Sus scrofa: one gene and its partner. The protein of the gene in region 1 interacts with the protein of each later gene in a pairwise test. Links are inferred from orthologs where the notes say so. Each region holds a gene or a part of one and is shown on either strand. Other genes may lie near its edges. The genes, in order: MYCBPAP and MYCBP.

Region 1 (3,920 bases):
TCCTGTGTTGCTGTGGCTGTGGCGTAGGCTGGCAGCTGCAGCTCTGATTTGACCCCTAGACTGGGGACTTCCTTATGCTGTGAGTGCAGCCCTAAAAAGTAAAACAAAACAAGACAAAAAATATCCCAAGAGTCAGGGCCTAAAGAGCCCTGGTCTTTGACTTGGGAGAACCACCTTCAAACTTTGCTTCTAGCTAGTGACCTTATTTTTATTTTATTTTATTTTTTCTTTTTTGGCAGCACCTACAGCATATGGAAGTTCCCAGGCCAGGGATCGAGTCTGAGCTGAAGCTGCAAACTACACCATGGCTGCAGCAACATCAGATCTTTAACCCACAGTGCCACATCGGGAACTCCCTGACAGGTGACTTTTCCTTGGTGGAGCTCAGTTTTTCCATCTGTCAAATGGGCACAGAGTGGAGCTCCTCAACCCCAGCATGATTTTGAGAATTGACTGAGATGTCACTACAGTTTATGGAGGGTACTGTGTTGAGTAGTTTAAATGTATACTCAGTTAATCCTTACATAGGCCCTTTCTCTCAGTCTGTACAGTGGCCATCGTGCATACTCTCAATTAATCTGTACAGTGACCATTGCATCCTCCATTTTATAAGTGGGAAAACTGTGGCTCAGAGAGGTTAAGGGACTAGCCCAAGAACACACAGCTAGGAAACAGGAAGGGCTGAGATTGGAACCCAGTTCTGTCCTGCTCTATAGCCCCTTCATTATTCCACACAGTTTCTGAGCCACTACGTGTTACACTTTGAGTTGAGGTGTGGACAAAGGACAAGCCAGCCTTTCTCTCATGAATTTTATATTCTTACAGAGAGCTTTACAGCAGCCAACCAGTTAAACAAACAGTAATTGTTGAATGCATTAAGACTCCGGAAAAAAATATAAGGGGGCACATACCAAGTTGAGCTACTTGGTATATACAGAGAGCTACTTTAAATTGCGGGGCGGGGAGCTCAAGGACTGCAACCGACAGTGTGAGGTGGCCCCAAGTTCCCCAAGCTTGGCTGGTCTGGGAAGTGATGCAAGCCCAAAGTGGCTGCAGCGAGCCGGGAAGGACACCCAGCGCTTGCAGGGGACAGGCAGGGACCACGGGGCAACTGAAATCAGCGAGAAGGCATCAGGGGTTTTCTGCACGGTGTGAAATGATGGATGCCGCGGTGGCTGTGCAGACGGGACGAAGGGATAGCGGGCAGAAGGAGCAGCAGGAAAGGGCCCTCCTCCTCCGCTTTCCTTCCCGGTCTCGCCTCCCGACCCCGCCTCCCCTCCCTCGCCTCCCCTCCCCCCCGCCCCGACCACCGGGCTAGTGACGTCACGGCGCTCGCCGGCGCCGCCTGTGACGTCACGGTCCGGATTGGGGGCATTGTTAGGGTCGAAGAAGTGGCCCGTGGCGGGCGCGTGGTTGCGGCCTGATGAAAAAGGTGGTTCCCAAGCAGTCTCCGCCCAAGTTGTTCGGTGGGTGCGCTCCCCCGCGCGCGGCGCTGGTTGCTATGGACGCTCGGGCGGCCGCTGGCGGGCGGGTGCGCTCGCGCAGGGTCGCGGGGGCTGCGGCGCCGCCTCCTTTTTCCGGGTCCTGGGTCCGGGTCCACAGGGCCACGCTCGCCGCCCGGGCCGCACCATGAAATCTCTAAAGAAGGAATCCCGCCACAGAATACCTACAAACAGATTCGTGGAGTCTTCAGGTAGCTTGAAAGGTTGGCCCTGGCTGCCTTGGGAGCTCAGGAAAGCCCGACAGGGGCAGGGGTTCTGGGGCGTCACAACACAGGGCCCGGAGGATGGGGGTGATAGCAGCCTGGAGGTAAAGATCACACGGGAATGGGGTACAGGACAAGGCGAACCCCATGCCTTAGACAAGGCGGTGACCCCTGGTGGGGCACAGTACACTGGGCCTTGGGGATGATGTACAAGGAGGGGACTCGCAGGGCAGGCTGGGGCCGCAGGGCACTGGGGCCTTGAGAGTGGGGACATAGAAAGGAGGGGACTCAGGGATCAGCTTTTGGGGAGATGACCTTGGAAAGGCAGGCCTATGAGACCTTGAACAATATCTTAGGGTGGGATACAGAAGGCAGAATCCTTCACCTGAGTGAAAGAGCCAAGAAAGGAGTTCCACCTGTGGCACAGTGGGATTGCTGTGTCTCTGCAGCACCAGGATGCAGGTTGGATCCCTGGCCTGGCACAGTGGGTTAGAGGATCTGACATTGCCGCAGCTGTGGCATAGGTCACAATTAGAGCTGAGATCTGATCCCTGGCCTGGGAACTCCATATGCCAGTAGGGCGGCCAAAAAAGAAAACAAAAGAAAAGAAAGGAAAGATCCAGAAAAGAGTTTAAGACTAGAAAGGCCAGGCCATGGGGTCTTGGGAAAAGAAATTCAGAAAAGATGCAGGAAACATGTTGAGGTGGTGAAACCAACGACCTTAGTGGGATTCTTTGCTGAGTGCCACCTTAGAGTCCTACTGGAAAAACCGGGAGAAATGCCTGACTTGGCCAGTTTTCTGATTACCTCTTCCCACCCTGTGCCCTTTCCGGCCAGATTGCGTAACCCCTGTCCTGCTTGTTTAACCTGGAGACAATCAATGGACATGATCCCTGCTTCCTGTCCTCTGCAATTACCCTCTGGTTGTGACAGGGAGAACCCCAGGGTGCCTGGTCAGCAGGCTGACCCCATGAACTTGTGCCCATGTGCAATCCACTTCCTCTTCAGTCTTCTTTTGTTTGCATTTATTGAGGGCCTGCTGTGTGCGGGCACTGTGCTGGGCAACAAGGCCATGGGTGGTAACTGTGGGACCCCAGAACTCAGGAAATGGAGTTTTGTGAACTCCTGTAGGAGAAACCAGTCAAAAGATGGTGATACAGACACCTGTCGGTATCAAGGGGGCTCAGAGCACCTGACTTAGGCTTTGAATGGTAGATTAGGGGGAACATTTTTCTGAAGAAGATGACATCTAGGTCTAATCAAAAAACAAAAAACAAAAGAAAAGCGATATGCTTCTCTAGGTCTAGGAAGAAGCTAGGGAGTGGAACTTTGACATTAATGGCCAAGGCAGAGGTGGTGAGTGTGGAAAAGGGGGGAAGGAAGCCAGAGAGGACTGCACAGGTAGGGACCAGACCACAGAAGTGCTTTACATGCCAGGTCAGAAAGTCGGTGTGTCATTGCAGCCCCTGGGGAGACCCAGCCTCAGATGATGGTGTGAGCTGAGTGTGAGGAAGGGGCAGGCCTGGAGTTAGTAGGGTTCCCTGGGAGGCCTGGAAGGGCTTTCTTTAATGCTGCTTCACAGCATGAAGGTCCAATGTAGACTACAACAAGATGCTCCTTTTTTTTTTTTTTTTTTTGTCTTTTTGCTATTTCTTGGGCCGCTCCCGCAGCATATGGAGGTTCCCAGGCTAGGGGTCCAATCAGAGCTGTAGCCGCCAGCCTACGCCAGAGCCACAGCAACGCAGGATCCGAGCCACATCTGCAACCTACACCACAGCTCACGGCAACGCTGAATTGTTAACCCACTGAGCAAGGTCAGGGATAGAACCCGCAACCTCATGATTCCTGGTTGGATTTGTTAACCACTGAGCCACGACGGGAACTCCTCATGATATACTTTTAACAGTTAGGAGAGAAAGAGGGAAAAATAGCTGGTCTGCTTTCCCAAGGGCAGTCAAGGGCTTTCCTAGCTACTGCCTGCTGTTTACCTAGTTTCCGAGGATCTTATCAGATTTGAACTTTCTGCTGTAAACAAATCAAGGAAAGATCCTTTCACTGCATATTTATTTTTAATAAGAGGAAATTTGACTTGTTAAATAGCCCCTGAGTTAAGAATATGCATTAAGGTGAGGAAGGAAAAAAACCTTGCAAAATGCCTTTTTCCTCCTAAATTTCTCAGGGGAAGTCTCTGATGTAGCCCGGCTATACTTCCCGA
Region 2 (2,908 bases), on another chromosome or scaffold:
TAATCTTTGCTGAGTTGTGGTTCCCTGCAAAAACTAAGATTTGAGTTATTCCAATTAGCTGTGGGATTCGAGAAGTTAGACTTCACTGCGCTTTAGTTTCCTCACCTATAAAACAGTCTGTGTGCCTGTTTCACTTATCTCACAAACTTGTTGAGAAGATCAGACACATTATGAGAAATGCCTGGAGTCAGGTGAAATGCATTATGTGATTCAGAATGCAGTAAAACCTCAAAGACTTTAAGTTGACTCATTTGAAGTTTATGAAAATTCTCACAGGAGTTTAAACAAAGAAAAAACTTCAGCACTAGGCAAAGAGTGCAAACCAGTTTACAGAGACTTAAGGGCAGACAAGTTTACAGAGTTACCATTACAGGGCCACCACATATGACTGTGCACTACATGCACTGCCCAGTCTAAGGTGACATTCACAAAGCAGGGGCCTTGTACTGTCCTACTCAAACCAGCTGCCTAAGACTCTGAGAAATCTCTGTTTACCTATAAACCAATATTCTCATCTTTTGGTTGAAGGTTCCCAAGAACCTTTTCTTGACCACACTTTGCTCATCCTATTTACACTTTGCCTGTGGTTTTCTCGACAGGGCGTCAACTTGGCCTTGCAACTAACTGAGATTGATATTCACCCTCCTCCCTCCCCTACTGTCCATTTTAGTGAGGTTGCGATCATATGATCACTAAAGGTGAACTTATTTTTAACATGAATTCTTTCAAAAATGTTACCTTTGTTTTCAGTTTTTTATTTTCTTCTACAATAGCTTCATATTTCTCTTTCATTTCTGCCAATTCTAGGCGAAGCAGCTCTATTTCTGGGTTTTCTGGGGTAGCAGCTCCTAAGTGATGCTTTAAAAAACTAATATCAAGTTAAGAATTTACTTGAGCTGAATGAAACTAGTGAAATAGCCCTCTGAAATAACTCTCTGATGAGAGTCACCCCACCCTGCCACCAATATTTACCCAGAGATCAAAATCCAAATACTCAAATTTTTTCAAAAATTGAAAGTATTTTAAAAGTTATTATCTATGTTTAAAAATCAGAGTTCAAAAAAAATGAAGGCCTTTTTCTGACTTGGAAGGTGAAAAGGATACTCCAAAGCACTATTAGGTTTCTCAGGTTCTTCATATAAGGCTACCAATACTGCAAATCAAAAAGCAGAAAAAACAACAATTAAAGTCTTTAAATGTTTGAAATTATATTCCATAACCCAGTAAATATGAAGTGCCTATTATACACCATGCACACTGCCAGGACTGTCCATACCATGGTGAACAAGACAGACAAGGTCCTTGCTCTCAGTGAATTTAAAGTCTTGTGCAAGAGATAAGCAAGGAACTAGACCAAAAAAAAGTTATCAAGCAGCAATATAGGATAATGGGTTATGGGAGCACATTGGAAGAATGCCTACCTCGGCCTAAGGCAGCAGGGAAGCCTTCCCCAAGGAAGGGAAATAAGACCTGAAACCTAGGCAATGAAGGTTTCAGATAAAAAGGGAAGGCCAGGGGCAAAAGCACAACATATTAAGGAACTGAAAATTCAAGTATGGCTAGATGGTGTTGTGAACAGGGGGCGGAGCAGGAAAGGAAGCTGGAAAACTGAGGTGTGGGGGAGACTACAGGATCCTGCAAGTTCAGTCAGCCCTTGAACCTAAGGACAAAATGGCAGGTAATTAACAGTTTTAAGCAGCGGAATGACAGGATCACTCTTGACTCCTGTGTGGAAGACTGACAGGTGGGACAAGGATCTAAAGGCAGGAAAGCAGAGTTCCTGTTGTGGCTCATCAGGTTACGAACCCAACTGATATGATATCCCTGAGGATTCAGGTTCAATCTGTGGCCTCGCTCAGTGGGTTAAGGACCCAGCATTGCTGTGAGCTGTAGTGCAGGCTGGCAGCCTTGGATCTGATTCCACCCCTAGCTGGGAACTTCCTTATGCCCCAGGTTTGGCCCTAAAAAGCAAAAACAGAAACAAAAAATAAATAAATGAAAGCAGGAACGCAATTGGAGTTCCCATTGTGGCACAGTGGAAACAAATCCGACTAGGAACCATGAGGTTGCAGGTTCGACCCGTGGCCTTGCTCAGTGGGTTAAGGATCTGGTGTTGCGATGAGCTGTGATGGAGGTCAAAGACAGGGCTTGGATCTGGCGTGGCTGTGGCGTAGGCTGGCAGCTGTAGCTCTAATTAGACCCCTAGCCTGGGAACCTCCATATGCTGCAGGTGCAGCCCTAAAAAAAAAAGCAAAAAAAAAATTTTTTTTTTTAATTAAAAGTTAGTGATCTGCACTAAAGTGATAGAGGGATGAAAACAAGGTAGGTACAGTAGAGAAAAATTCTGGAAGGCTATGGTTAATTACTGGAAGGAGGAAGCTTTGACTTCAAAAATGTTCTTCAATAATGAAGTTTCACACATAACATGCTAAATAACCACCAACCAAAAACTTTACCAGTAATCAGTGTGCTCAAATCAATATTAAATACTTTAGTGGTTTCATATCCAGTAGTTCACGTCAGCACTACCTTTTTCATCTTAAACAAATTCCTATTACACTATTTAGATGCACTATTTAGATAAAAATCTCTCTAAACCATTGCTCATTTTTTTGTGCATGGACCTCTTTGAAAAACCCGAAAAAGACAAAAACTACACACAAAAAAATATGCATATCTAGACACCAAATTAAGAACTACTATGGTAGACCAATTTACATGCTTCCCTTTTATTTAAGTTTTAATGATTCAGTAAAATAATACAGACAGTATAAAAAATTAAATGGAAAACTACTACTAACAACTTACATTAAGTTCTGATAGTTGCTCTTCTAAACGTACTTAGAGCGGTATTTTTGAGTAATTGGTGTATTCACACTATTTCCCTCTCCTCTCCTTCTGTTTTCTC

What was found.
Region 2: the proteins of MYCBPAP (region 1) and MYCBP interact in binary tests that used the Homo sapiens proteins (3 or more experiments, as listed by UniProt). The link is inferred for Sus scrofa from reciprocal best matches to the Homo sapiens genes MYCBPAP and MYCBP.

The regions. Positions count from the first base shown.
Region 1 is NC_010454.4:26,790,365-26,794,284, forward strand, and holds the start of MYCBPAP (MYCBP-associated protein), read left to right. Parts: upstream 1-1,345; 5' UTR 1,346-1,423; coding exon 1,424-1,466; intron 1,467-3,920. UniProt on the Homo sapiens protein: May play a role in spermatogenesis. May be involved in synaptic processes.
Region 2 is NC_010448.4:94,808,683-94,811,590, forward strand, and holds part of MYCBP (C-Myc-binding protein), read right to left. Parts: intron 1,154-2,908; coding exon 1,105-1,153; intron 869-1,104; coding exon 739-868; intron 1-738. UniProt on the Homo sapiens protein: May control the transcriptional activity of MYC. Stimulates the activation of E box-dependent transcription by MYC.